Sus scrofa: one gene and its partner. The protein of the gene in region 1 interacts with the protein of each later gene in a pairwise test. Links are inferred from orthologs where the notes say so. Each region holds a gene or a part of one and is shown on either strand. Other genes may lie near its edges.

Region 1 (3,648 bases):
CATATGTCTCAAGGTATCCTAAGGAACATGAGGAGGGAAAGAAAAATGACTCCTTTTAACTTCCTGCAGGCCCTGGCTGTTTGAGTGCATGTGACCCAGGAGGTAACTTGGCTTTTGAGTCATTGTATAAATTCTCCAGTTTTTAACCCACCCACATCACCAATTTACTAGTCAGAGCAGTGGTTTTAGGGGCGCCAAATATAATGATTTTTCTACAGAAATATTTTCGTATACTCTTAGTTACATGTTTTCTTTATCTTTTATATACTAAAGGTTGTGGAAAAACCTTTGTTTCTCTTCTTATATGTGAACATCATCTTAAGAAATTTCCACGAGGACGAAAGGGGAAGGTTGTCTTTTTTGCTATTCAACTCCCAGTGTATGAGCAGCAGAAATCTGTGTTCTCAAAACATTTTGAAAGACTTGGGTACGTATAGCAGTTGGTCCAACTTCTTTTTCTCTAGCTTCATGTAACCAATGTGTTTTCTGCTTTGTTTTGCTTTTGGAAAACCATGATCCAAAAAATTTACGGTAGATTCAGCTAGATATTAATTCCTTCATAGATCCAAGTCTTTTTTGTTAGATATAGCTGAAATGCTAACCTCCTGTGATTAGCTTTGGCAGTGTGAGTAAATGACTTGAGATAAATTTTACAGCTAAATGCCACATTTAACTTTTCAATGATTTTGAGTGAATCAGTATTTTATATTAGTCTTGCCTTTATTTTCTTTTTCAATTCCTTGAAAAAACTACTTTCGGCTCTCTCTATCTGCAGGTGCCACATGGAATGTTTTTTAGCAGTTCTTCCTGGCTTACATTTGTTGATCACTTACTGTGTGCAGGGCTTTGTGCTAAGCTCTTAACTTTTCTCCAGATCTGTTCCTTTTAGACTTAGGGAGAACTAATCAATCGATGTTCTGATCTGGTACATCCTTTGTGTGTGATTCCTCATTCCTATTATGGTTGGTAATAGGAAATTTCTGTCATTTTCCAGGTACAAAGTTGCAGGCATTTCTGGAGCAACGTCTGACACTGTCTGTGTGGAACAGATTGTTGAGAACAACGACATCATCATCTTAACACCACAGATTCTTGTGAACTGTCTTACCAATGGGACAATTCCATCACTCTCTGTGTTTACTTTGATGATATTTGATGAATGCCACAACACCAGCAAACAGCATCCTTATAATGTCATCATGTTTAATTATCTAGATCGGAAACTTGGAGGATCTTCAGACTCACTGCCCCAGGTATCTCCCAAGTCAGATGGATTTCTGAGAAGAGCTCGAACTTGTCTAGATCTTTTTTGTTTTTTTAGGCTGCACCTGAGGCATATGGAGGCACCCAGGCTGGGGGTCGAATCGGAGCTGCAGCTGCTGGTCTACAGCACAGCCACAGCAACACCAGATCTGAGCTGCCTCCAAGACCCATACCACAGCTCACTGCAAGGCTGGATCCTTAACCCACTGCTGGAGGGCAGGGATTGAACCCGCATCTTCATGGATACTAGTCAGGTTCATTACTTCTGAGCCACAATGAGAACTCCCTAACTTTCCTAGATCCCATTTGCATACCCTGTGGCCGTATCGAGGATGTCCTTCTGAGATCCTAAATGCCTTTCGTATGGCTCCTTAATTAATATCGATTCATTTATTCACTTCACAAATAGGTATTAGGTGCCTCTCTGTGTCATGCACTATGCTAGGCATTGGGGGTACAAATATAAAAAGACATGGTCCTTTCCCTCACACAACTTAAGTTTTGTGGGGAGCCACATGCTTAAGAATTACGATTTATGGTGATGGCACACTATGGATGTACAGAACAGAAAGATGCTGTGAAAGTAAGGCAAGACCTAACAGAAGTTGGGTGAGGCAAAAACTAATGGGAGTTTACGAGGCAGATAGCTGGATGGTTTTCAGTAAAGGCTTCTGTGTGTCCAGAGGCACAGATGTGTGAAAAAGTAAGGTGTGCTCAAGAGTCTTGAACTTCTTCAGCATCACCTGAGACCAGTCGGTGAGGCAGGAGGGGGAGAGGGAATGATTGACAGAACAAGATACCAGGAGACTAGAGGGCATGGGATAAGTGTGCAAGCAGAAATAAGTAAAGATGGGGCAGATGAAAAACCATTCTTGGAGTTCCCGTTGTGGCTCAGCAGTAACGAATCCAACTAGTATCCATGAGGATGCGGTTCAATCCCTGGCCTTGCTCAGTGGGTTAAGGATCTGGTGTTGCTGAGGCTGTGGTGTGGGCCTCAGGTGCAGCTCCGATTTGACCCCTAGCCTGGAAATTTCCATGTGCTGACAGTGCGGCCATAAAAAGAAAAAAAAAAAACAATAAAAAGCCCTATTGTGCAGAAAAGAGTTCCAGGAGCGGAATATCATGCTATTTCCCAGACATCTAATGGTTCGGGATGCTCCTCACAGGTCATTGGACTGACTGCCTCGGTTGGCGTTGGGGATGCAAAAAACAAGGCTGAAGCCACAGAATACATCTGCAAATTGTGTGCTTCTCTTGACACTTCGGTCATAGCAACAGTCAGAGACAACTTGGAAGAACTAGAGGAAGTTGTGTATAAGCCCCAGAAGTGTAAGTGGGATCCAGTAACAAGCCCTTCCAGATTTTGTTACCCTTTGCTCATCTTGGTTCAGGGCCATTTAGATGAACCCTGTGTTTTTACCCTTTGTCTGTTGTATAGGAAATATTTAACCCCAAGCTTAGGAAGGAATCACATTTCCCGTTCTCTTCCCACCTGAGCTCAGAAGTGGCCTGTAGAGAGCAGACACGCTTATTCTTCATTTTCCTAACACTCTTGTGAAGGCACTGGCAGTAAGGGAGAGCTGCTGGGAAGATCTGAGCATACAGATGGCTCGGTCTTTCTCAGGTGCCAGGCCTGGGAAGGACACTGAGTGCTTGGCCAATCTTTGAATATGTATCTGGGAATTTTGGTTGATGTGAAATTATTTGAACTCATCTTTCCTCAAAAGATCAGAATATGATTTTATGACTACAATTGACTAACACATGTTTATTGAGTACAATGCTGTACTAGCCCAGCAGGCGAAAGGGATACAGAAGATGCCTGTAACTCTTGTTGCCTTGCTCTCTGAACGGCATAGGGCTGGATTGGATAAAAGGCAGAACAAATACACATGAAAGAGTCCAGGAGCTTCATGGAAGGAGTTTAGAGAAAGTACTCAATCTGAACCTCTTAATATCACATACACATTTTGTTTCGTTTTGTTTTCTGTCCCCGCCCCGTCCCGACCATGGCATATGGAGTTCCTGAGTCAGGGATTAGATGCGAGCCACAGCTGTGATCCAGCCATAGCAGCTCTGGATCCCTATCCCACTGTGCCAGGCCAGGGATTGAACTTGTATGCCAGGGCTCCAGAGATGCCACCAATCCCTTTGCGCCATGGTGGGAACTCCCACATATCTTTATAATCCTGTCCCTCCCATGCTCTGAGCTTCATCTCCTCCCACCTCCCATAAACCCAAGCACATGGCCTTCCTTCTGCCTCCTCAGGTGGGTCCTTTGTGTTCTCTCTCCAAGTTTTGTCCATCCCAGCCTTTGCCCATGACTGCTCACTCCCCCTTGCCTCTTCCCCTATTTCCTCACAACGCTGCCTCTCCTGGAAGAGT
Region 2 (4,369 bases), on another chromosome or scaffold:
CTGAGAACAGACAGCATGTACTCTCTGTGCTTGGCTGGGTTAGCCACGGTGTCCATTCCATCCTGGTAATATTCATCCACATTGTGGATATGAGTAGTTTTCCTTGACTGTTCTTTTTCACTACTGTATACACCACAGTCCATCTCTCCATTCTGTTTATGCACATTTGTTTCCAGAACTTGCATATTGTGAATAAAGCCACTATTGTGTGTGTTTCCAAGTGGACTCATAGGGTTTATATGTTTAATTTAAGGACTTCCAAGCATTTCATATGTTTAACTCATATGTTTAACTTAAGGACTGCCAAGCATTTCCCCAAATCTTTTAATCTCTCTCTCTCTCTTTTTTTTTTTTTGACTGCGCCTGCAGCATATGGAAGTTTCAAGGTCAGGGATCAAATACTACCTGCAGCTCGGACCTATGCCACAGCTGCTCACAAGGCTGGATCCTTAACCCACCACACCCACAACCCCCACCACAGCAAAGACACCTCTGGATCCTTAACCGGCTAAGCCACAGCCAGAACTCCTAATCTCTCTTTAAAACAGGAAAAAAAAGTAGTTCCCATCATGGCGCAGTGGTTAGCGAATCCGACTAGGAACCATGAGGTCGCGGGTTTGATCCCTGGCCTTGCTCAGTGGGTTAAGGATCTGGCGTTACCGTGAGCTGTGGTGTAGGTCGCAGACGTGGCTCAGATCCCGCGTTGCTGTGGCTCTGGTGTAGGCCAGCGGCTACAGCTCCGATTGGACCCCTAGACTGGGAAATCCATATGTCACGTGAGCGGCCCAAGAAATGGCAAAAAGACCAAAAAAAAAAAAAAACCAACCAACCAAACAAACAAAAAACAAAAACAGGAAAAAAAATAAACCTCTACTTTTTTTGGGAGAATATTTAATGGGCCCTAAGACTTTAAGTCTGTACCTGAAACAGTGGGCATTCAATAACTGCTGGCCTTTGCTGCCTCGGCAGAGCAGGCGGTTGGGGAAAACTGCGGTGAGGTACCAACCAGAATTCTTGAAAGGAGAGGGCGTTTCCACGCAGCACTCAGAGCCCACCCCCAGCGTGCCCAACCTTGTGAGACAAACTAGGCGCCCTGGCCCTTTCATACACCTATCCCCCCACCCCCGCACTCCAGATCGATCTTGCCTCCTCAGGCCCAGAACGTGTCGCCTGGCTGGGCACTTTTCATGACATCCGACGTTTATTGAGCACTGACTATGTGATAGGCCCTGGGTGAACGACCAAAAGACCCTCACCCCTCAAATTACTCAGCGTGAGGAATGGTAGCTTCGTGTGGGAAGCGTCGTGGACCAAGGCCGCCACAGTTTCGACTTGGTTTCTAACCAGACCCTGGACTTCCCCCTGGAAGTTGCTCGAGACAAACAAGAAAAGAAGGTCATCTGGTCATCTGCTCCTTTGCACTCCAAAAAGTACGAACCCAGGTCAGTCCCGAGCGCCCGTCCGGCGAGTCCAGGCCCCCAAACCACCACCGAGTACCCGCCCCCCGCCGCCCAGTGGCTCCCACTGGAGCCGAAACCCCGCCCCCGCCGTCTGGCCAATGGCCGTGCAGCTCCGGCCCCCACTCTCCTGTCCTGCTGGGGAGGGTTCCGGGCTATAGGCTACAGGAGGCAGGTTGCCTGGCCGTGGCTACCCCGAGGTAAGATCGCCGGCCCTGGAGCTCGGTCCTCTGGGCTCTGGGGCACGGACGCCTTTCGGGGAGGTAGCCCGCAGGGAGGGAGCTGAGTGGGAGTCGGAGTCCTTCGGGCCGCATGAGGCTTGGGGCGCCCGGCGGCCGAGAAGAGCGGATTCTTAGGCTCGTGGGGTTCGGGGCAGCGAGGGCTCCGCGCGCCGCAACCATCACTGAGGGCTTGGGAGGTGCGTGGCACCGGCGTCTGCTTGGATTGGAGACGAGGTTGGGCCGGAAGGAGACAGGCGCTGACTCCTGAGCCCCTTCCAGTCGCCCTCAGGTCCAGGGTGATCCCCAGGCGAGGCCTAGCCCGGGTGCGCTAATGTCTGGAGGCCGCGGCCGCGCTTGAGGGGTCGAGGACTGCCGCCGTCCCCTGGGTCCTGACTGTTCTCGGCGCTGACATCTGCTCAGAACAGCCCACCCGCCCTCTGAAGTCCTGGGTCTGGCCCAGGAATTATGGAATCCGAGCTGAGGCTGTGAGGCCGCGCCCCTTCCGGGAGGGTGGAATTTTCTTTCTGGAACGGACACACAGCCTCTGGTGCAGTCGGGGTAGAAACTCTCCTAGCCGCATCCATCAGGAGCACTCCGCCGCGCATCTTATCCGAGACCAGGAGGTGTCAGGAAAACAATGGAAAAAAATCAACATTCTTCGTTTGAAGGCTCAAAAACACCTGAAAGGACTTCTGAAAGGACCTGAGAACCCGGCTGCTGTAGTGGGCAGAGTTAGAAGGGCCTCAGATCTGTCCAAAAGATTCCATTCCCCACAAGAGCAGGGACCAAATTCTGCATTTTTCCCAGGCCACTTTCAGTCAGTCCTACACCTCCCCCACCCCCATCCCCAGCCAGGCAGTGACCTTGGGGTTTGAAGGCCTGGAGTCAAGTGAGTCTCGCTTGCTGCAGGGGTTTCTTTGCCCTGCACCGTGTATGATGAGTTTCAATTAGGCAACAAGTCCTGGGTTCAAATCCTGTTAGGCCACTGGTCAGCTGTGCAACGTGGCTTCATTTCTTAAGGGATTGTGGCAAGGATTAAATGAAAGAAATTTAGTATGTGCCTGCCAGTAGTGGACCCTTAATAAATGTGAACAGATATGGGGTTCCTTTCTTTTTGGTTGAACCAATTCATACCCCGATACCCCCAGACTCTGTGCCTCAGGGGCTGAGACTGGGATGCAGAAGAATGTTTCACCTGCCTCTCTCCTGATACCTCTCTGTATCCCACAGGAGGGAAGGGGAAATGGGTATATTTGCCCCCACAGTGTTCTTTGCTCATTTCCTAAAGGCTCAGGGGACCCCTGCCCCACCTCCCTGATCCTCTTGACCTCTGTCTTTTGTACTTGCCTCACGAGGGAAGTTGCACCTGGTGTTGGCAAAGCAAGTTGCGCAGTGTGTGGCTATGAGGCCGGTGGCAGCAGGTAGGCAGGACTGCTGCCCCATTTCACATGTGGTGGGGGACTGGCAGCCTCAGCAGCTTTACATTACTCTCTGCTCTGCAGCACTGTCTCCTAGAGCTCCCACCCAAGCTTGACACCCATGTTTCTACTCTAGCCTGCCCCCTCTACTCTGCCCCCTTCCCTCCCGGAAAAGCCCCTTGGATATCCAATAGCATCTCCAACTTCACTTGTTCAGATGGAGCCCTGGAGCCCCATCTGCACCACTGCTTCTCCCGCAGATTCTCTGGCTTGCTAAGTGGCACCCTCCATCCACCCAGTGCCGAAGGTGTCATTCCAGATCCTTCTCTCTCCTTCATCTCCTGTATCCACAAAATACCAGGAATCCGGCCACCCCTCACCATCTTCATGGTTACCATCCTGGTGTACCCCTCATGGGGTCCCTGCTGTGGCCTCCTGACATATCTCCCTGCTTCCATCCTGCCCCCTCCACAGTACAGGGTCCTTACAATCACTGCAGAGGTATATATATATATTTTTTTAAATTTTTTCTTCTCTTTAGGGCCTCACTCGCGGCATACGGGGATTCCCAGGCTAGGGGTCCCATCGGAGCTACAGCTGCTGGCCTACACCAGAGCCACAGCAACACAGGATCTGAGCCACGTCTGTGAACTACACCACAGCTCATGGCAACACCAGATCCGTAACCCACTGAGTGAGGCCAGGGATCAAACCTGCATCCTCATGGATGCTAGTTGGGGTTGTTAACTGCTGAGCCATGATGGGAACTCCACCACAGAGATCTTTAACATAAATCAAGTCTTCTCCTTTTCCTGCTCAAAACCCTCCAATGGCTCCCCATTTCACTCCAAATAAAACTCAAAGTCCTTTCCTATAATGGCCTACATAAGTGGCCCTTCACAACCTCCTTGACCTTGATCTCTACCCCTCCCCCTAGCTTTCTAAACCTGGACCGCTCTGATCTACTTTTCTCATCTTCAAACATGCCAAGTGTTTTCCCACCTTTGGACTTCTCACTGGCTATGCCCTCTGCCCAAAGCACTATCTTGCAGCCAAGAATGGTTTGGCTCAATGTCATCAATTCAGAAAGGTCTCCCTGACCATCCCAGTTCAAGCAGCATACCCTTCTTCAGGGGCTCTGTCTCATCATCCACTTCATTTTTTTCTATAACCTTTATTCCTAGCTGGAGTTACATTTTACTGATTTGTTATCTGTCCCACCTCAGTAGAATGTAAATTGGATGATGGCAGAGATCTTGTCTGTCTTGTTCCC

The links.
Region 2: the proteins of DDX58 (region 1) and MAVS interact in binary tests that used the Homo sapiens proteins (3 or more experiments, as listed by UniProt). The link is inferred for Sus scrofa from reciprocal best matches to the Homo sapiens genes RIGI and MAVS.

What each region holds. Positions count from the first base shown.
Region 1 is NC_010452.4:33,905,112-33,908,759, forward strand, and holds part of DDX58 (probable ATP-dependent RNA helicase DDX58), read left to right. Parts: intron 1-273; coding exon 274-427; intron 428-994; coding exon 995-1,253; intron 1,254-2,429; coding exon 2,430-2,592; intron 2,593-3,648.
Region 2 is NC_010459.5:31,866,440-31,870,808, reverse strand, and holds the start of MAVS (mitochondrial antiviral-signaling protein), read left to right. Parts: upstream 1-1,535; 5' UTR 1,536-1,657; intron 1,658-4,369.